Linked DNA regions of Rhinolophus ferrumequinum. The protein of the gene in region 1 interacts with the protein of each later gene in a biochemical or structural test. Links are inferred from orthologs where the notes say so. Each region holds a gene or a part of one and is shown on either strand. Other genes may lie near its edges. The genes, in order: UBA6, UBE2G2 and UBE2T.

Region 1 (7,542 bases):
AAAAAAGAATGAAATCTTGCCATCTGTGACAACATGGATGAACCTAGAGGGTATTGTCTGAGTGTAGTTAGACAGCGAAAGACAAATGTTATATATTTTCACTTATAAATGGAATCTAAAGAACAAAATAAATGAAACAGAAACAAATTCATAGATACGGAGAATATTTTTATGGTTGCCAGAAGGGAGGGGGTTTGGGGGTGGGTAAAAAAGGGGAAGGGATTAAGAAGTACAAATTGGTTCTTACACAGCTGTCATGGGGGTGTAGGATATAGCATAGGGAGTATAGTAAATAATACTGTAATAACTATGTATGGTGTCAGATGGGTACTAGATTTGTTGGAATGATAGATGGTAGGGAGGTTGGGAGCAGGGTGAAAAAGGTGAAGGGATTAAGAAATACAAATTGGTAGTTATAAAATACTCATGGGGATGCACAGCATAGGTAATATAATCAATAACGTGGTAATAACTATGTATAGTGCCAGGGGAGGTACTAGTTAAGGCGATCACTTCTTCAATTATATAAATGTCTAACCACTATGCTGCACACCTGAAGTTAATATAAAATAATAATGAATGTCAACTATAATTGAAAAATTCTAAAAGGGGAGAAAAGCTAATGGAGAATAAGAGGTTCAAAGTTCCAGGTATAAAACAAGTATGTCCTGAGGATGTAATATACAATATAGGAAATACAGTCAGTAATATTGTGATAGTGTGGTACAGTGTCAGATTGTTGCTGGACTTATCGTGGTGATCACTTCTTTAGCAGAGGGAATATAACCAATAATATGTTAATAACTATGTATAGTGCCAGGTGGGTACTGTTGAATAACTATGACATACACCTGAAACTAATATAATATTGTATGCTACCTATATTTTAATAAAAACCATTTAAAAAATTGAAATATCCCACTCTTGGCTAGAAGATCTAAATAATTATGATGCAAAGAAATAGCCTCTACTTCCAATCCAGGGGCAGAACTTCAGAAAAGTGTTTGTGGAAACATCTATTTTAACCTTTTAGTTTTCAAGAAAAAAAGCATCCTGGGTCCATGTTGCAGTCCAGACCTAACGTAGACCCTTTACATACAGCCTTGCTTCCTTTTGAGCCTATTAAAACATTTTAAAACTTCATTTTAAGTTCTCCTAAACATTTAGTGAGGCAGTTCATGGTTCTTCTGGAATGTTGGAGTACCTCCTTGCAATGGATAGAAACCTGACTTTCTTGGGATACAGTTTTGTTCTTGATGGACCTAGGCTTATTGGACTAGGAAGACTGTCTCACATTAAAAGTTCAGGAACATTAATGTCACATAAAAATGAGCAACCAAAAAGTATCAGGTTTTTGTCCTATACAGTTATTATAGGAAAAAAGAGAGTAAGGAACATAACATCATCATTACAGATAATGAAAGTATGCCTGAAAGATGTGCCACAAAAATATATCAAAACTGTAAGTTAATATTTTGAAACTAGCTAAATGAGATTAAGAAAATGATACACGGTATGAAAGAACGTGATTCGGAATTAGAAAATCTCAATCAACTCAATGGGGGATCCTTTCACAGTGTATACCTATATCAAATCATCACATTGTACACGTTAAATATCTTAGTTTTATTTGTCAATTATATTGCAATAAAGCTGGGAGAAATCAGAAAAACTCAGAAATGAGGTGACAGAAACAGGAAAATTAGTCACAGAAATAAACTAAAGGGAACACAAAAGCTAGTAAACACAACAGATTGATATTTTCCGTAAAGAAATCTTCTGTAAAGAATCCTTAGGCTGATGCTTCTCTAATCATTTTAGTTTTCTGATGATCATTCTCTAATAATTCTTTAGGAAGGGTTCATGGGAACAATAGTCTCATCAAATGTTGGTATCATATCAAGCATTGATAATAGTTTATACCCTTTGTACATGAGAGTTGATTTGCTAGATACAAATTCCTTGGCCCACACTTTTTTCCTTGAGTATTCTAAATGTTATTCCATTCTCTTCTGTCAAAAAAGTTTCACTGTCAAAGTCTGGTGATATTCCAATTTTCTTTTCCATTTTACAAATGTGATAAAACATTAAAATCTGTTAAATCCAGGTATTTGTTATATTGTATGTTTGAAATTATTCACACCATATTTCATCAAATGTAAGATGACCTCAATTTTAAGAACATTATTGTTTTCTGTATTAATAAAAAAAATGCATTCTAATTTCAGGGATGTTAAAATGTGAAGAAATGTGGGTCTTAGATGAAATGCAGTATATTCATATCATACTGTGTATAACAAATTACCATAAGCATAGTGGGTTAAAACCACATAAATTTATTAGTTCACAGTTTTGCAGGTCAGAATTGGGGCACAGCATAGCTGGGTTCTCTGCCCAGAGCCTCACAAGGTTGAAATCGATGTATCAGCCAATTGTGTTCTGATCTGGAGCTTGGGTTCTTCTTCCAAGCTCACAGAGGTTGTTGACCAAATTTAGTTCCTTGCAGCTGTAGGCCAAGATCTCCATTTCCTTTTTGACTGCTAGCTAGGGGCGACTCTCAGCTCCTAGAAGCCATTCTCATTTGTTTCCATGCATTCCCTTCCCTCTTCAAAGCCAGCAAGGGAAAATCTCTCTCACATCAAATTCCCCTTCCAGGAAAGCCCAGTCTCTTTTAAAGGTAGAGTGGCAATATACAAATAAACAAATAAATATACACCAGAAGGTGATACCGTGTTTCTCCGAAAGTAAAACCTAGCCAGACCATCGGCTCTAATGCACCTTTTGGAGCAAAAATTAACATAAGACCCGATATTATATTAATTATATTATATTATACCTGGTCTTGTAGTAAAATAAGACCAGGTCTTATATTAATTTCTGCTCCAAAAGATGCATTAGAGCTGATGGTCCAGCGAGGTCTAATTTTCTGGGAAACATGGTGGATGCTAAAAAAGAAAATAAAAGAAGTTTACATTTGCATTTCCATCTGTCTAGAATACTCTTCTGCTAGAATATCTAGCAGGGCTCACACCATTTAGGTTTTGGCTCGAATGTCACTTCCTCAAAGAACCTGTCTGACTATCAAAAATTGTCTTCCGCCTCATCCCCAAGTCACTTTCTATCTCCTTGCCCTTTTTCAATTTCATTATATTTACTTTCTGAAATTATAATTTCATTCATTTTACATTTTTTGGCTTCCCATAGTGAGACTGACAAAATCAGGGATCACTGTATGTCTATCGCCTGATTATTGTCTAATCATTAGCTCCTAACGTTTAATAGGTATTCAATATTTAGGAAGGAAAGAAATGAGGGGGGAATTGGAAGGAAATACAGAAATTGGCATTATCTGTGGGGTGGGACAAAGATATTTATATTTATTAACTTTAGAATAAAGAGTAAAGACAGGGATACAGTTAGTGCTAGAGCAGAACCTTGAAAGAATGGGACATAGACCAAGGTCATTCTAGTGGTTATGTAGAAAAGGTACACAACTGGATTGAGAAATCTGAAAGATGCCACAGGTGAACAGCATTAAGTTTCCAGGTATTTGGAGATGTATAATTTTGAAAAGAGAATGGAAAGGCACAAAGGATAATGCAGCTTTGCCTGGACCCTCTCTGCACACTAGAGGAAGAAGTTCTAATTAAGTAAAAATATCATGCATTGCAAAAGATATATAATATATACAAAGTCAAAGCATATGCTAATTTTTTAATCCTACACCTGTTTCTTCAAATATAGTTATTTAGAATGAAAGACAAATCCTAATATAATAGTGTCCCGCTAACTTTTGTTTTCTAAGAAAGGTGAAGGGGAGTCAATGGAAAAAGAATTAGATGAGAAGTTCCTAGACATGTGTTCTGGTACTTAACCTGACAGTGAATAGCTCTGTGACCAGCTCTTTGACCTTGACCAAGTCACTTACACTGACTAGAAGTTCCTTTCCTCCACCCAAAAAGTGAAGGGGCACACTGATGACATGTCATTTATAGCTCTCAATATCACGATTCTTTTAAACCTGTGACAGTGCCTGACATGTAGTATACGCCCAAAATTATCTGTTAAACGTACAACGTCTTAAAATGAAATTTCAGATGGAAACCTGGAGTTGCCTATTACTAATCTTCGTTATTTATTTACGAAATGAAGAGGTTTCCTCTTCTCGCTACAAAATACAAGAATTTTGCTACGCAGCCCCACCATTTCGTTGGCCACTAGAATGCTCTGTGCTTGGCCGATGAGCCAGAGGTGACCACGCATAACTTTACTGTTTTGATTTCACTTGCGGATCCGGGTCACACCAGCGCCGGTCACTGCAGCCACCTGCTGCAAAGCCCCCTCCGAGACCACACCCAAACCGGAAATCACGACGTCCCGGGGGTTGATGGGAAGGCGCGGCCAGCCTGCGCGCTCCCCAGGCCCGCCCCCTCCGGTGATGTCACTGCCCGCCCCTTGACCCCCGCGGTCCCGCCCCCTTCCCTGTACCCGGAGGCGGCGACTTCACTGGACCATGGAGAGATCCGAACCGGTGGTCGCACCTCAGCCGGAAGAGGCATCCTGCTCTTCATGGGGAGCCGGCAGGTGAGAGGACGCGTGTGGGAGCGAAGAAACGAGGGATGGCGGGGACCCGGACGCCAGCTTTCTGTTTCTCTCCCCGTCGGGTGGGGAGAGAGCTCTCGTGAGGCCGCGGGGCCAGGCAGAGCCGGCCCGGGGAGGCGAGGGGAGCGCGCGGGGTGGGTGTGGCGGCCTGCGCTCCGACCTCTGCGGCTCCCGGCGTCTCTGAGGAAAAAGTCCACTTCTCATCGGTTTCAGCGCTTTCTCAGTTGCGGTCGGGGTCTGCCATCCTCCTTCCTCCTAGTTACCGGACGGGAAGGGTGCCGGGGGGAGGGCTCCAGCCGAGAGTTCTGGCCCGGGTCGTTTGATGTGAGCTTTCCCAGACCTGGTTGCCTAACACCTTCTTCCCTCCTTTTGGTAAAATGAAAGCTAAAAGTTCTGTGCGTGATCCTCCATGGAGTTTCTCCTTTGAAAACTATTATCAGAGAGAAGTTGGTAATAATGAAATCAGTGGCTGTCAGAACACCCTGAGGTCCTCTGTTGACCACAGTTAAAAAAAAAAATCAGGGAAAAGAAACACGAGTTACTCATTTTTATTTCCCAGTTGGGGTTGAGGTTCTAAACGTCTTTTCCACTGCTGCAAAATTATGGAGTGGGTGGGATGTTCGTATAGTTCTTGTTTCAATCACCTCATAATTAATAAAGGAGATGTTGCATCCTGCCCATTACCAGAATACAATATGCTAAAGGTGATGGGTATGTGATGTTGAGCTAAAGTAAGACTTTCATAAACCTGTAACTTTTTCACCAGCTTCAGATTGAAAGGGATGATTTTTGTACCATGATATTGCCTGCTGTTGTCAACACTGCCAGATTCACTTGGGGAATATTATGCAGTACAGCGACTCCCCTTATGTAAAGCGTTTTTGATTAACATATAGACCTTATTATAAAAAATGATTTTTGAAACATTCCAGTAAGGCAGAACTTTCTGAAAAGTAGACTCGTGACAGACATTTTAAGTGATATAGCTGATTAGAATGTAACTCTTCTCATTTTTACTTAAGAGCTTTACCCACTAGGCTATTGCCCTCCATGCAAGGAAGACAGCAAGTGAAAGTACTAGGGATAAGAAAATTGTGTGAGACGTAATTTTTTTATTTTCATATTTTGTTACAATGCCAAAACAGGGTATTATAGTGTATGCGTGTGTTTTTATTAGATAACTGACAAACACAGCTATTTTCTGGTTTGATTTCATGATTACAATCAGGAATATTTTTAATAGTTACCCATTTAATTAGCTAGAAGCAGGTATCATTTGATGCTACCATTCAGTGTTTGGTAAGATAAATGATAACATTTTGATTAACTATATTTACAAATCCTTTGGCTTGTATATCAATACCAGGCCTAGAAAACTGGATTCTAAAACTGAATTTCTTTCTATCACATTGTTTCTAGAATCCTGTAATTGATAATTAGAGTTTCCCAGAACCTGGAATAGATAACCGTGTTTCCCCGAAAATAAGACCTAGCCAGACCATCAGCTCAAATGCATCCTTTGGAGCAAAAATTAACATAAGACCTGGTATTATATTATCTTATATAAGACCCGGTATTATATTAGATTAGACCTGGTCTAATATATTAAATTAATATATCACATTAAAATAAGACCGGATCTTATATTAATTTTTGCTCCAAAAGACACATTAGAGCTGATGGTCTGGCTAGGTCTTATTTTTGGGGAAACACAATATTACACTTTTATTAAGATGATATTGATTTTAGCTGTCATGGTGGCTCAGGCCCAAATGCCTCAGGCTGATTCCCTGTGCCAGGGAACCATCTCTGTTTCCCAGTGTTTATCCTATTAACATTTTTCTTTCTACGCCATGCTGTGAAGATATTGGCATGGGCTGCGGTAAATGATATATATCATTATAAGTATGTCTTGTCATACTAGTATGTTTAACTTTTTAATTTTTAAAACTCATTGAACATATTTTTTGAGTGTTTTTGATATTCCTACTATGAGAGGCAGTAGGCAGTATTGAGTGTTGGTCAACAGCTAGACTGCTGAGGTTCAGATTCTGACTCTGCCATTTACCTGCCCTAACTTTCAGCAGGTTATTTAAGTTAACGTTTGTCACCCTCGTTTTTCCCCCCCTTTATTCAGTGGAGATGGTAATAGTGCCTATTTCATAAAGTTATTGTAAGGGTTAACTGAGTTATAACATCTAAAGCATTAAAACAATATGAGCACAGTGTTATTATTAAATGCGAGGTACTGTTTTAGGTATATGGAATACAGTAGTGAATTTTTTTTTACAGTAGTGAATTCTTAACGGATCATACATTCTATAGGGGAAAGCAGACAGTTAATACACAGTTAATGATAAGTGATTTGAAGAAAATACAGCAGGTGAAATATGATGATGGTTTGGCCTTAGATTATGCTGATTGAAATAATAAGAAGTGATCAGATTTAAGATCTCTTTTGAAGAGCTAACAGGACTCAGAGATGGAGAAAATGAAGGAAAAAGTTAAGATCCCTAGATATTTGGGCCTGAGCAAGTACATGGTAGTACCAAAAACTGAATTGGGAGAGACTGGGGAAGAGTAGATTAAGCAGGGGGGATTGAATTCTGTTTTGGGCTTGTTATATTTGTGATACTAACTGAACAACAGAATATAGATACTGCTTTGGCAGATGTGTAAAAGCTGGAGGTTACAGGAGAGATCAAACATGGAGTAATAAGTTTAGATATTATCAGTATATTGGTAAATTCCAAGGACCAAATAAGATTATCTAGGAATACTGTATATTAGAAGTTTATGGGGCACGCCAACAAAATTGTTAAAATATAGATTCATCAGAATATATGTAGCAATGATAAAACAACACCTGAGAAAATAACCATGGGCTGTAATTTTGCAGTACACACAGAAAGCGTAGGCAATTAGTGAATTTAATTTTGA
Region 2 (7,675 bases), on another chromosome or scaffold:
TCAGACTGTCCTCCCTGTCAGGCAAGGCGCCGGCAGGTGGGCGGGGCCCACGGACTTAGACGTGGAATTTGCATTAGTCACTGTCCCTGCCCTCGGCTTGCTCCTCCTGCCCTGAGCATTTGCACACAAGGGGTGTGGGTGGAAAGACGTGTGCACATGTCATCCATGGCACACTTAGCTTTTGTAAGCGCCTGCCCTCCCCACCCTGTCTGTAAGTGTTGGTCCAGCGTGTCGCAGGCTTCAGTCGCAGGTGGAGGCCGAGGTTCAAGCTGTGTTCTTGTCCTTCGCCAGCCCAACAGCCCGACGGCATCGTAGTCCAGAGCCAGACTCTGTTGGAGTGTCTGGTCCTTCAGAGTCCCCATCAGTCTGAGTAGCTATGTGCAGGCGACGTGCTACCACCTTCTTGAGGGACTCTGCTGCTGCTAAGACAGTGGTTGGCTCTGTGAGGATTCCTCGGGGGCTTGCACTGTGGGGGCTAGAAAGCTCTCCTCCCGCCTGTCACTCTGGCTCCCGCCCACGTGGTGTCTGGGGCACCCGCCAGCCCAGACGGTACTTCTCTGCATTTCTGAGAACATTTCTGGGAAACATTACTGCCCGGTTGGTCTCTGTACAAACTGGTAGCAGCTTCCTTCAGTTTCGTGAATAGACAGTCATCAGGTAGACATCTGTGCCCGTGCTGTCAGAAAGCGAAGGTGGGGAGCTTTTGCCCCATGTAGGGCCTGGTCATGACAGGGAGGGGCCGGGCGGGGGGGCAGCAGTGGCCCCTCCCAGCGGGTCCTTTGCTCATTGGCTTTGCTTTGGAACCCGCAGGCACCGCCCACTGCCCTGGTTATGAAGAGGCCCCGCTCACTGGATGTTCCTTATTGGAATCTTTGTCTAATTTTCAGGAAGAATTTGAGATACTTGTTCATTTTTTAATGAGGCTTAGTTTTCCTTGCTATCAGTTAAAGTCGGCTTTGAATATTCTTTTGTGAATTTCGTTAGGGGAAGCTTGGAGAGTAAGTGGCTTATAGGAAATTCTGGACAAAGCCTTTTCCCTGCTTGTGACCCGGGGAGGAGGCCACGGAGCATAGGTGTGATCGGGCAGTGTTGACCAGTGCGGGGGGTGGTGTGCATTAGTGAGGGGGACTGCAGTGGGCACGGTGTTCAGAGCAGTGTCCGTACCTCTGATGGAGTGACAACTAACAGCTTCCCCCTCTCTTGCTGTGCCTGTCCCGTCGACCCTGCCAGCTGGAGATGGAGGACGAAGACACCATTGACGTGTTCCAGCAGCAGACGGGAGGCTCCTGGAAGACTGGCTGCTGCGCAGGATGCGGCCTCTAGAGGGACCGGCCCCACTTTGTCACCGTCCTTGTTTGCTGTTGAATAGTGAATACGTGACCATGCGAATCACAAAGGAGTCTGCGGAAACCGAGGACCTCCACCAAAATTCCTTTCCTCTGCGACGTCCCGCGGGTGCAACTCAGAACTGTCTGCAGGGACACACCCTCGCCTAATACCTGGCCAGGCAGTTGTCATTTTGTTTAGGAAAATGAGCGTGAGTTTTTTGGGTTTGTTTTTGCTCTCATTTTTGTTTCCCCCCCACCTCCTATGACATTTCCCCAAGCTTGTGGCCTGAAGGTCCACTGTTAGTCTAGACGGGGATCTTTTCCCAGGTATTGACCCCCCCACCCCGCCACTGCTTATTCCAGTCACATAGAGGGCTCACGTCACTGCAGTGGGGGTGCTTCTGTGGGACAAGTCGGGGGGCATGGTGGGGGTGGGAGACAAACTTCCACTTAACTATTTCTTGTAGGCACAGGTTTTTTTAAATGCCAAATGTTACAAATTTAAGTTTTGTGAGAATATGGTAGAGTTGAAGGGAGAATATTGGAATGTTTTCTAAAAGGTAAAAAGGAAAATAAGTGAGTCCCTCAGTAACATGGCCCTGGGTGCTCTGTTCCACCAGAGTCCCCTCGGGTGAGGGTGGGTGCAGTGGCCGTGACACTGCATGGGCGAAGCCTGGCACAGCGAAATGGGCTTTTCCCCTTTTACTACAGAGGAAAGCAGTCCCCACATTTCTCACTTGGTGATAGTACGCTCAGATTTCTTCTGGTATTTGCTTCTGATGAATAATTATGGTCTTGATATAAAAAAGTACGATTAAGTATTGCTGAATTTGCAGTGACGTTTTGTGTAAAAGCTGTTTCCAAGTGTGGTCACACGGCCTGTGCAGAGACAACTTCCTGTCCCTCTCGAGGGCTGTGCTCTGCTGCTTCCCAAACCGTAGCTGTGACTTCAGTCTGTGAAACGTTTGGGGATCTGTACCTGTTAAAACTTTTAGTTCCCCTCCTCCCTCTGTACGGACCCACTGCTGCCTGGTGGCCCTGCTCTGCCTCGTTCTGTCACCTGGACAGTGCGACCATGACTGTCATCTCTTGCTTGCCCGGAATCTTGCCTTTCCTTTGTGTTTTGCTGTTGGGGTGTGGGTGGGGTGTCTGCTGGCCATGTTAATTCACCAGTTTGTACATTCTTTGTTGTCCTTTACTACTGTAAACAGTAAATATAGTTTGGTATTCTGTCTCTTGTATTAAATACTGCATTTGGAGGTTGGGGCTGACTGTCACAATTCAGCATTTGTAGTGACCATTCAGCGAGGCCACCCAGACTTCCATTTAAAGGCTAGTTGCTGAAAAGTAAGTATCCACCTGCTGCACCCCTCCCCACACCCCTGCTGGGCTGGGGCCGAGGGGGCCATCCTGTCTCCTCCCGAAGCTCTTCCGTGACAGGTGAGCCAAACGGGCATTGGGATGCATTGGGATGCATTGTGATGGACTTTTCCTCTCCTGGGTGTCTCCTCGGTGTCTCGTGAAGAGAGGGTGGGTTTTATTTATTTATTTATTTTTAATTTTACCGGGGAATATTGGGGAACAGTGTGTTTCTCCAGGGCCCATCAGCTCCAAGTAGTTGTGCTTCAATTAGTTGTGGAGGGCGCAGCTCAGCTCCGAGTCCAGTTGCTGTTTTCAATCTCTAGTTGCAGGGGGTGCAGCCCACCATCCCATGTGGGAATGGAACCCGCAACCCTGTTCAGAGCTCGCGCTCCTGTGCTCTAACCAACTGAGCCATCCGGTCGCCCCAGAGGGTGGGTTTTGGAGGCAGTGGATCTGGACATCAGGCTGGGTGGCTCACGTTGTTGGGTACTTGACTGTCAGACTTCTATTTTCCTCTGTGCGGTTGACAAGCTACTCTTTGAAATTGAGTGAACTGATGCTAAGTTGACAGAGGACTTCCAGTGGACTCTGCTGTGACAAAACCAGGGGTGAAAGGGAGTGAGCTGTTTTAGTCCATCAGGTGAGGGTCAAGAGTAGCTGGGAAAAAGTGCGCTCTAGCCAGGCTTACACCAGCAAAAGGAGGTGGGCTGAAGCACATTACAGGGGTGAGTCATTTGCAGGTGCCCTGGAAAAGCTGGGGGCGGGTACATCTCACAGAGGGGCCCCTGCATTTGTGCCTTCAGTGGAGTGAGCAGTGCTGAGCTGCAGGTGCGACAGTGCAGTGCTGCCTGAAGTCCCCCACACCTGACCGGAGAAGGAAGCTGTCCTTGAGGTTGTCTTTTCTCTTAAAATTTATGCAAATGGTGCATTTGGAATAACAGCTCTCAGTATTAATATTTTAAAAATGGTAAGTTACACATCTAAATCCCAAGATCTTTGGGTTAAATTCATGCTTCAGGAGGAGATAGCTGTATTTATCCTGTTAACTGGTTTCCAGATCCCAGCTGGCACTGCCCCATGTCAGCACTGAAAACCCCACCGTCGTCCTGCATAAACTTACAGGTGGCGAAGCATATTAATGCTCCACCTTAAAACACGGGTTCAGCCGTGACATACTTTTTATATTTCAGAACTTTAATTGCCAAAATACAAAAGACTAATTTTTTTCTAACTTGCTGGCCTCCCCAAGGTGCGATGCTTAGGGAGCCATGAGACATCACCTGTTACTCAGAACCCTGTCATCCTCGGCAGGCAGCGGGCTGGCTGCGGCTCGGGTCTCCAGTGGGGGCCAAGTCTTGGGCACCCCGAGTCCCGGCTGGGCCGCGATGACGCGGAATAACGCCACCACCGTCACCAACCTTCTCTTTCCAAACCTAACCCCTGTCCCCTGTCGGGAGGTAGTCGGGGCATCGATGTGTGGATGTCTTCGGAGCCGGTCTCCTTCGCCCCTGGGCCTGGCGTCAGTAACCTGCCCCTAGGGCAGGGGTGCCGGCGAGCGCGCCCGCCCGTCGCGCCCACGTGCAGTGGCCGCTTCAGCGACTGCAGCCGCCTCCTTCTCTACCCCTCCTCCTGGGGTCTCTAAAAAACACCCCACCAGAATGACGTCTGCCCAGCCCGCAGTCCATCGCCCAGCCACCGGTCCCGTCCTCCATCGGACCCTCCTGCGGCCAGTGTGACGGGACAGTGTGCGCCTGTCGCCCAGGATCTTCTGGGGAAACCAGGGCCCCGCAGGTATAAGGGCCGCCGGAAGCGGCGTTGACCCCACAAAGCGGCTGAGGGGCCGGGCGTCACCCCCGCTCACCCGACCTCGGGGCCACAGCGGCCCCGCCGCGCCCCCGACAGCGCCCGCCCGCCGGCCCGCCACTGCGCACGCGCGCGCCGCGCCCCGGAAGGGCTTCTGCGTCCGGCCGGCGACCCGGAAGCAACCCGGGCTTCGGGCGGGAGGATACGAGCGCTTCGGAGGCAAGGCCGGACCGCACAGCTGTTACCCCGACGATGGCGGGGACGGCGCTCAAGAGGCTGATGGCCGAGTACAAACGTGAGTTCCGGGCCGGCGCGGAGCCCTGGGCGGCGCCGTGCCTCCTCCCGGCCCCTCGTGCCGCCCTGGCTCGGCCTCCCTGGCCCCGGCCCCGGCCCTGGGCCCCCGTCCCCGGCCGCTGCTCCGAGAGGCCCTGGGCGCGCGGGCCGGGGGCGCTGCGGGCCGCCTCTGGGCGGTGTGCGGGCCCCGGGGTCGGACTCCTCGCCGCACGGAGCGTGCCCCTTTGTGCACGGGAGGAGCGAGCGCGTCTTGTGGCGGTAACTTGGGAGCCGCAGGGTCTCCGGGCTGCGCCTCCTCTCCCGGTGTCGGTACGTGGTGCGGAGAGCGCTCGGGAGGGGCGAGGCCACGTTCCTGCCGCCTTGGTTTAGAAATGCGTCAGGAGTGACGTCCAGTGTCCGTTTGTTCCTTAGTTCTGGCTTTGGCCCTTTCGGTAATGGAGAGAACTCCCTGCTTCCAGCGTGCGGGGAGGGGGCAGCGAAGCCGAAAGTGCCCGCGAGAACTTAAAGGGCCGGTTTAGGGGAGAAGCGCGTTGTGGTGAGTTCGCGGTGAAAGGTCGCGTTCTGGTTTTCTCGCCTAAGGAGCGGAGCGTTTGGACGGTGCCACCCCCGTCCTCCTAGGCAGTGCTCAGCAAAGCGCCTTAGTGCTTCCCGAGCCGTCCCTCTGTCCAGCCCGCGGAATGCTCCCGGGACAGTTGCCGTGACCCGCCCGGGGGTGCCATTCTGAGCTGGGGGCCCGAGTGGCAGCCCGCTCCTGGGTGACAGCAGGGCCTGCGTGTGCTTCCCGGCTCTCCCACCTTGGCTCGCCCCTTCGCCTCTGCGCGTCCCTCACCTGGAGACGCGAACGCCTCACGACAGACCTCATAGGTAGCTCTTGATCATGTTCGATGTTGTTGTTGTAGTTACATTGCACGTACCTTCGGAAGAAAGTTGAAAATAATGACTTAATGAAAATAATTGATACATATGCATGCAGCTCAGTTTCCTAAACCATGTTGGTGGCACTGCGTGGGGAGAGGTGATTAGCAAACTGTCGCAGATGCAGGCGCAATAAAATAATTTGGACAATACTCTCCACGTTGGGCCCTCTGGAGTAGGAACAGATGCTTCCGGGAGACTTGAGAGTGAGGGGACACGGGGGTGAGGTGGGGGCTGTGGCCTCTGTCTCCTGGGAGTCCTTCGGTTCCCTGCCACCCTGCTCTGTGCTTCTGTGTCTGGCTTAGTCTGTTTGGCCTTGTTTCTAGACCACGAGTGAGTATTATCTTTCTTGTTTCTGTGGAGAAGGAATCTGTTAAGCCCCTTCACGGGAATGAAGTTCCGGCTGCTGCTTCAGTCCAGTCGTTGTTTTGTTGAACTTGTATTTCCTCAGGATATTTGCATTGGCCAGGGCGATTTTTCTCTTCACTCAAAGCTTCATCCATTATTTCAACCATGTTGTCAGTTTGCAGTAATGGAATGTATATAATATTTGACTTTCAAAGCTGTATCACAGAAGTGTATTATGTGTGCGTGTTAATATGTGGCACGTGGGAGCCTGTGCCGGCAGAAGTGTACACATGTCCCGAGATCCCTGTCCCCGCTTACGCAGTGGGACACCAGCCTAGGCTCTGCTGAGAGGGGACTTTGCAGCTGTAACTGGCTTACTAACGACCTGACTTTAAGACAGGACGATTATCGTGGATTATCAGGGTGCAACCCAGTAATCGCACGAGGCCCCAACACAGAAGGGGAAGGCAGGAGAGGAGAGGCGGGAGAGGAGGTCCTGAGGAGGGGAACTGGGAAGAGGGGCCAGGAGCTCAGGAAGGTGGAACCTGAGAATGAATGGTCCCTGGCCGAGCAGCCAGGAACCTGGACCTCATCCTACAGCCGTGGGAACCAAATTCCCCAACACCCGGAATGGGTTTGGGGGGCCGCCCTGCCAACACCTTGACTGCTGCCTTGTGAGACTAAGCAGAGAACCTTCCTGCCCAGCCTCTGACACAGGAAGCGCGTCGTGGGGGGTTGCTGTAAGCCACTGAGTGTGTGGTGAGTTGTCCTGTGAGCGATAGGAAGTGAAGTCTGTTGTTGAGGGGTGTTGTTGTTGCTGTGTCTTAGTAACGTGGTCATGTTCCACTGACTGATTCTTGTCTTTTGTGTCTTAGCGTCTAGTTCGTCCTCCTACCAGTCTGCAAGGTGGCACACCCACACAATCAGCTGCCCTGTGGCAGGGGCTTAGATAGGCTTGGCCAGGGTCAGGGCCAGGCGTGCTGTCCGTCCGTCACCGTCGCAGGAGTGCAGTCGACCTTGGCTATGATTCTGCCCAGGCCCCCGCTTTTACAGGAAGTTGAACACTGGAGAGGCAAAATGATTTGCTTCGGTTCTTAACACGAGAAAAGGAGCCAGGTAAAGAACGCAGTGTTTTAAACGGATGCCTTGTTTAGATGTTTGTCTTCACTCCTCCCCTGGCCTTTCCCAGGACGGCAGAGGTAGACTTGGGTTTGAGTGTCCGGGGCTGCCCTAACAAAGTGCACCAGGGGGTGTCTTAACACGACAGACACGTGTTCTCTCACAGTTCTGGGGCCGGAAGTCCCACATCAAGGTGTCAGGAGGGCCGCTCTCCCTCTGAAGGCCCTGGGGAAAGGCCCTTCTCGCCTTTCTGGCTTCCGGTGGCTGCCACCATCCTTGGCATTCCTTGGCTTGTGGTGGTGTCACTCCGGTCTCTGCCTCTGTCTTCACGTGGCATCTTCCCTCCTATAAAAGTGCCGGTCAGTGAATTAGGGCCACCCTAGTCCAGTGTGACCTCATTGGAACTTGAGTTCGTCATCAGGCCCCCATTTCCAGATGAGGTCACTGTCACAGATTCTGGCGGACATTAATGAACCCAGTGCAGTAGGAACCCCAAACTCACGTGT
Region 3 (6,978 bases), on another chromosome or scaffold:
ACTTCTCGGTGCTCTCTGAGCCCATGAAACGGTCCCTCCCGGAATCAGATCTCAACCTTAACATCCCAGGGACACGGGAAAAATAATATCCACCTTCTCAGAGTTCAGAAATTTAAAATGACGAACGTGGGCCTATCAGCATCCATAATATTTATATTCAGCTCTTTGTTAGGTGGGATGTAAAGCTCTAGAATTTAAATCTGAAAAGTCCATGCTTAATTTTCTCCTTTCGGATCTTGCCCAGGTCATGGTGCTGATTTCAGATTCCTCTCCTGGGAATAAACACACCACCTGGCACATCTACCTCAAAGGGTCACTGCTGAGATTCCCATGGGGAGAGGCATGAGAAATAAGTTCAAACAGCAGAAAGCCATACAAGTGTTGGTTGCTACTTCAGGGCACAGTTATGAGCAGAGAAGCAGCAGACACGATAGGGTGAAGAGAAGAGAAAGGATGCAAACAGGTGAGGAGTAATTTTAAGCTGCTGGCTGATCCACTGAGAGAAGTGCCACGACACAAAATTGACGTATTATTTAGAAGTGGGTTCCTGTGCCAACACATTCACTTTGCACTGACAGCAGAAGGAAAATAAGAAAGATTAAGAGCGGGAGTCCAGCTCGCAGCTCACCAAAATAACTATGAAGTTCCCCTCGGGGAGGGAGGGTGGAGTTAGTGGACAGGCGTATGTGCAGAATATTGTTGCACAGTGAGAGAAGTGAAGGTGTCACCAAGCCACGGTCTGGACTGCGCTAAATACAGAGCATGGGGTTTCTACAGAGGGCTTTGGGGGAAAGAAAACGAGAAAGGCCATTCCATAAGGTCAAACACACACAAGTGGCTCAGAAGGCCCGCAGGGAGGGAACTGCTAAGAAGAGAGTGAGACAGGGCAGCCAGGACGTCAGGGGGTGCTAGGCGCAGGGGCCGCAGGAGACAAGCTGCTTTCGAATCGTTACAAATCAGCCAAACGAGAGGTGTGGTTTCGGAAGGTCCGCTTCGTACCCCCAACTTGGGATTCACTCCTTCGGGGACCTGAGATTCCTGAACGGGGCCCCACGCAGAAAAGGGAGCTGTGTGCAAGGGCGTCTGTCGGCCGGCACTGCCCCCGCACGCAGGGACACGGCGCCCAGGCACGCGGACCTGCGCGAGTGAAGATGGCTAATCGTAGGGACACGCCCGGCCCGAGCCCCCAGTAACCATGACAACCCAAGCAGGTGCAGGGAAGTCCAAACACTGCCAGGCAGGTGGGGACCCCGGGGTCGGGCAGAGGCCAGGTGAGCGCAGCAGGCGGGCGCGGACACCACCGCGCCGGCGCCTCGGGGTCGCAGGCTCACCTGCAGGGACGGCGAGGGTTACCTGGTGCAGCGCTGTCAAGCCGTCCACGTTGGTCGTGTTGATGTCGGCTCCTCTGGCCAGAAGCCTCTTCACCTCGTCGGTGTCCCCGCTCGAGCAGGCGGCCAGGAAGACCGCGCCGTCCTCGAAGCGGACCCGGGGGCCCCCGCGGCGGGTGCGCGGCTGCCGCTCGGCGGGCTCCTGCTGGGTCTGCGAGCCCCGCCAGCGCCGCAGCTGCTCCGCCCGCCGCACACGCGCCGACTCGGCCCGCTTCCCGCCCAGGTGCTCCAGCTCGGCCATCGCTCGGGCTCGGCAGCCGCGGCTGCACTACCGCCACCAGGTCGCTGCCGCTCGCGCTGCCGCCGCCGCCTCCCCAGGAGCGCGTCAGCCGGGGGCAGAAGGCGGAGACGCCCGCGCCGCCATCTTTATTCCTCCGCCGCCAGCGCCGCCGCGCGTTCCCGCGGCCTCAGCACGCAGGCGCGCCGCGCCCCGGGGCGTCACGGGACTTGTAGTCCGAGACCCGCCCCAGGGGCGCCCCGTGGTCTGCAGGGAACCACAAATCCCTGGATGCATCAGGAAAGGGGCGAGTGCCCGCAGCTCGCGGCTTCGCCGCGGGACCCAGCGGCGGGGTCACCTTTGCCCTAAAGCTGGAACAGGCTCCTGGACCGGCGGCAGCTCTTTGGGCATTTTGGGAGTCGTAGTTTATTCTTGCTATGACTCTAAACTAAACTTGGCTCCTTAATTATCACATCAGCTCTTCTTTGCAGTGGAAGAGAGGCCGTAATTATCCCTATTTTCCATTGGGGAAAACTCGGCCTAAAGTACCTGGTCTAGAGTTTTATTAACATTATAACATATAATACATTAACATGCAGGTATCACCGTGTCAGTGTGCGCGCGGAGAAGGGCAGTCGTACACACAGTAGGTACTTTATAGCTTCTAATTAAGTCTTACGGCGTCTGTGTGAACCGTGAACAACAAGCAATGGGCATGAAAAGGTGTCATAATATAGACTTTATAAAGCCTTGCTTCCCTTACTATGTGCATTAACTTACAGCTACAAGATATAATTTGTGGACATTTAAATGTATAGTGAGCTGGCTATGATGTATATATATATATATATTCTTGTATAAAGTGAAGAAACGTAAAGTAAATTCCAGTGTTCGAATACTGCTTCCAAAAGCAGTGAGACCGGTACACAGTGTATGAAACTCCGCAGCCTGGCTTCTGTTCCCACCAGTTACCATCCTTCCCTCTGGTGGACAAATGGAAACTGCACATTTAGCCCGAGGAGTGTTTTCCGCTTTTCTTTTATCCGATCCTTTCGGTTTGGTGGCCGGAACAGCAGGTGTTTGCTCGTTTTGTCCTCCCAGCTCTCCTTTCCACCAGACTCAATGGAGTTCCTGCTTTTTCTAAGAGACACGTTTAAGGCGCGTTTCAAAGAGAACCGCCCGAGGAAGAACTCGATGTCAGTTCTGAAGACAGAACTGTACCTGAGACGCCGTTACACTTGGCGTCGGAAGAAAATAAGACCCTGAAGGGTTAAGCCAGAAAACGGCAGTCAGAACAGAGGCAGCCAACGCCAGAGTCGGGACCCAAACACTTCACGACGATGCCAGCCGGGAGCTACACGGGACGATAGCAGGACCCCGTACGTTTGTCCTCCACAAGCTGCTTTAGGTGGTCCCTTCCGCCGACCGGCGTGAGGCTGCCCAGGGCGGGAATCGGGCAGAGCCCTGGTGAATGTGTGGGTCTCTCGAGCAGAGGGCACAGACCGTGCGGTGGTCACGGGGGACCCGGCGTGGACTGAAAGCAGAAATCACCGCCGGGGTCCCTTTGGGGGACTGGCCGTCTCTGCTAAGCGATCACTGTTCCGAAGCCGGCAATGCGCTGAGAGCAGTGAGATGAGGGTGGGGTGGGGTGCGGCTGGGGGTCTATTCCCAGAGGCCGGTCGATTCCAGCCGGTCCTCTGGAGCCCCTCAGGTGTGGGCCTTCGCTGCGCCGGCTGATGTCAGCAGGCACGTCCCGGCTCAGGAGCCGGAAGGATCGGCCCGGCGCAGGATCCCTTCGCGGTGAGGGAGGAATCGCCGCGTCCCGGGGGCGCCGGTTCCGTTCTGAGTGCTAACGGCCAGGACGCCTCGCTGAGCTACATCTGCAATCCTTCACGTTCATCCATTGGTCTTAGGAGACGCGTCCTCGGAAGCACATCCTCCTCCAAAGGGAAACATTTAAAACAAACGACGGGAAGTACCACGATCCTCCGCGCCAGATCCAGTGTTCCCGCTCCCTTCACTGTCCCTCCGGCGAGGCTGTTCCCAGCGCCTGCCCCGCTCGGACCAACAGAGCCGGCCTCGGAACCGGCCTCAGCAGCAGCACCGCCGCAGGCGGCACTCGCCGACCAGAGCAGCCGGCGTCCCAGCGGAACCCGCAGCGTCGCGCGCTCCCACTTGAAGCGACGCGCCCCAGAGCGCGGGCCAATGGGCGGCTGCGCTCGTCTCCCTGCGTCGCCGCGGGCCAATGGCGACGCGCGCGGGCGGGAGGCGGGGCGACGCCAACACCAGCCGGCGCATGCGCGGGTGGCCCCGGGGTGTCGGGCTGGCGCGGAGAGGCGGTCGGCTCCGGGAGCGAGGGGCTCGGTCTCCGGTCCCTGCGGAGGTCCCGTGGGTCTGGGGTGAGTCCCCCTCCTGCCTGACGTGTGGATTCCGTCCGAGGAGGAGCCCTCGGGAGAGCGGCCGTGGAGCGGCGGGGCGGTCGGCCTGTGGGGAGTCGCACGGGCGGACGGACGCTCGCTGGCGGCGTCGGTTCGGGCCCCGCGCACCACGGGGCTGCCGCGCGCGAGGCACCGCTGACGGGAAAGCCACCTAACGCCACCAGGGACCCGCCCCGGACCGCGCCCCGTGACGGGCCGTCGGAGAGCGGCGGCGGCCGGCGCGGAGAGGGGGACGGCGTGGGGGCCCCGGGGCCAGGTGCCGCTCGGCGCGAGCACAGAAGCGGGGGCCGGGGGCCAGTGGGGGCCCCTTAGAGAAGCTGCCCTCCCGCCCCCCGCGCCGCGCCTGCCGGCCGCGGTCCCGCGTGCCTGGCGCTGCTGCTGTTGAGGTCGGGGAGGCTCTTGCTGAGAAAAGTCGTGGCAATCTGTCCGTAAGAGGCACCTGCAGACGGTGACGTCAGCTGCCTCGCGGCCTCACGGCGTTGGGGAAGCTTGGAAGTGGTTCAGGGAGGAATTTATGTGCAAGGCGGGTGTAGTATCCAGAGTAATTCTCCGACCGCATTAATGTTTCGGAAAGAGCGTGTTGCTCGTGGAGGAGCAGCGAGCCTGGAGATGAGGACAAGGCGAGCGCAGGACCGTGCGTTTCACCTTGGCCGCGGCTCCCGCGCGAGTCCTGACCCCGCCCCTGCACCGCCCTGCACACCTGTCAGTCACCGCAGGCCACGCCCACCGCGTCAGCTTCTGTTCTCGGTAGTTCTCCAAGTACAAACAGTTTAGGGAGAGAATGTGTGGGATTAAAGTTGTTGCTGCCGTTTCACAGATTAATAAATTGACCTTTTAATTACTGTTTAAGGCTTTGTCAGTGACCCTGGCATGACCTAGTACACATAAGCCGTGTGGACTTGAGGCTTGCTGCCAAACTGAGTTTTTAGGCTACAAAACTGAGAACCAGATCTGAAATGGCAGGGACCACGCCAAGACCACGTGTCCGTGGAAGGCCTACCTTGAAAAGGTGGCCTTTTTTCTTAACATGCCCACTTGATCTCTCACCATTTATTTGAAATCATTTATTAACTCAACAGTCACCTAAGCAATAAAGAAAGAAAATAGGAACTTTGCCATTTAAGAGCTTTCTAATAAAAGTTATTAATTATATATACCGTATCATGCATCTTTGACATTTAGTAGGGCTCTATCTTGAGATCTTTTTGAATCTTCAAATATACTGTAGAATTTTCCCTCAAAATATCGTAAAGTATAATTTGGAAATGTAAGTGACTCAGATCCTTACTGATGCTAGAAATGCAAGATTTGAAGTCATTTATATAGTTCTTAAATGCACATTTTGTGTTTTCACTCGTTAGCTGACAGGCATTTGGGCTGTTTCCATTTTTTAGCTGTTATGAATAATGCTGCTATGAACATTTGTGTACAGATTTGTGCACAGATGTGTGTTTTCAGTTCTCTCGAGTGTAAACCTAAGAGTAGAACTGCAGGATCCCAAGGTCGTCTGTGTTAAACACTGGGAGGAGCTGGCAGGCTCTTTTCCAAAGCAGCTGCATCATTTTGCATTCCCCGGTAACGTATGAAGATTCCAGTTTCTCCACATGCTCCAACACTAGACACCATCTTTTTGATTATAGTTATCCTGGCGGTGTGAAGTTCTAGCTCATTGTGGTTTTGATTAGCATTTCCCCTAGTGACTACGATGTTGGGCATCTTTCCATACGCGACAGCTCTTCTATTCCACTTGGCACTGGGAGTTACAGGCAGGAGAAGGATTGGAAGGGAAGAAACCAGTGAGGCCTTGTGGGCTGGCTGTGTAGTTATCAACCCCAGCCTCACCACCCAAGTAGATCATCATTTGCATTGTTAAACTTTTGGTTACAAATCAGTTACATTTACATCCACCTCAGACACTTCAGCATTAGCTTATAAATGTCTCAGAGTCATGGCTCTGTCTGTGTCACTCTCCTTGCCACGCACACGTAGGCTTCCTCCCGCAGCTGGTAGTTGTCCATCCCTTTCTGTGCCAGCCGTGCTGAGGATGCTGCGTGAGCAAAATTAGACCCCGGCTCTGCCTCAGGAGCTTATAGTTTATCAGTGGAAACAGACCTCGATCTAAAATAGCTAGTCTTCTTGTTGTTCGTAGGACTTTTTGCATCTTTTATACTTTATTTTTAAAATTTGTTTGCTTAAATAGGTAACAAGAAGGAATGGAAAAGACTCCAACTCCCTTCTCAGAATAGGGGTTGGTATGAGGAATCTCTGTCCTTCATTTAATTGAAGCCATGTGCTAAAAACCCCCGTCATCCGTGCCGTCTATTTCATGGTTGTCCCTTTTCTCCCTAGAGTCCAGCCAGCTTTTCGTGTGGCCTAGTGAACTGTGTGGGGTTCCTGTTACTTGGGGATCATGCAGAGAGCATCACGTCTGAAGAGAGAGCTGGACCTATTAGCTGCGGAGCCACCGCCGGGCATCACATGCTGGCAAGACGGGGACCAGATGGGCAATCTGCGTGCGCGTAGGTACCAGCACGCTGGTGGTGGGTCATGGCGCTGCTGATGGTGCTGGGATCTGTACATTCCTGTGAAGTGGGGAACAGTGCGAGGGCAGCTGCCCACTGGCCTTCCCTGAGCTTGTTTGCATTTATAGAAGGTTGGCTTGGCACTTCTTCTTTGGCGTTACGTTACACCTGCTCACGTGTAGCCAAGATTTGGGCTTCTGCTCTGAAGCAGCATTTATCTCATATCTGTGAGGCTGGACAGGAAACGAAGTGCTTAGAGTCCGCAGTCCAGACAAATCAGATGTGCAGGCCGTGTCCTATCCATGGCCCTCATATTCCAACTTCTGTTTTGAGCTCCTATATGTCCTTGGCTTGACACCCACACCTTTTGGGGTCCATGGTATGAGGACTGGTTAAAGTCCTGAGAGAGAATT

Evidence for each region.
Region 2: the proteins of UBA6 (region 1) and UBE2G2 form a complex in vitro, tested with the Homo sapiens proteins (2 studies listed by BioGRID, with this or other methods). The link is inferred for Rhinolophus ferrumequinum from reciprocal best matches to the Homo sapiens genes UBA6 and UBE2G2.
Region 3: the proteins of UBA6 (region 1) and UBE2T form a complex in vitro, tested with the Homo sapiens proteins (2 studies listed by BioGRID, with this or other methods). The link is inferred for Rhinolophus ferrumequinum from reciprocal best matches to the Homo sapiens genes UBA6 and UBE2T.

What each region holds. Positions count from the first base shown.
Region 1 is NC_046288.1:26,811,286-26,818,827, reverse strand, and holds the start of UBA6 (ubiquitin-like modifier-activating enzyme 6), read left to right. Parts: upstream 1-4,475; 5' UTR 4,476-4,513; coding exon 4,514-4,584; intron 4,585-7,542. UniProt on the Homo sapiens protein: Activates ubiquitin by first adenylating its C-terminal glycine residue with ATP, and thereafter linking this residue to the side chain of a cysteine residue in E1, yielding a ubiquitin-E1 thioester and free AMP.
Region 2 is NC_046285.1:107,865,901-107,873,575, reverse strand, and holds the start of UBE2G2 (ubiquitin-conjugating enzyme E2 G2), read left to right. Parts: upstream 1-4,664; 5' UTR 4,665-4,745; coding exon 4,746-4,788; intron 4,789-7,675. Other genes in the region: SUMO3 (small ubiquitin-related modifier 3), read left to right, coding at 1,231-1,323. UniProt on the Homo sapiens protein: Accepts ubiquitin from the E1 complex and catalyzes its covalent attachment to other proteins. In vitro catalyzes 'Lys-48'-linked polyubiquitination. Involved in endoplasmic reticulum-associated degradation (ERAD).
Region 3 is NC_046310.1:426,005-432,982, forward strand, and holds the start of UBE2T (ubiquitin-conjugating enzyme E2 T), read left to right. Parts: upstream 1-3,882; 5' UTR 3,883-4,004; intron 4,005-6,243; 5' UTR 6,244-6,291; intron 6,292-6,392; 5' UTR 6,393-6,453; coding exon 6,454-6,562; intron 6,563-6,978. UniProt on the Homo sapiens protein: Accepts ubiquitin from the E1 complex and catalyzes its covalent attachment to other proteins. Catalyzes monoubiquitination. Involved in mitomycin-C (MMC)-induced DNA repair.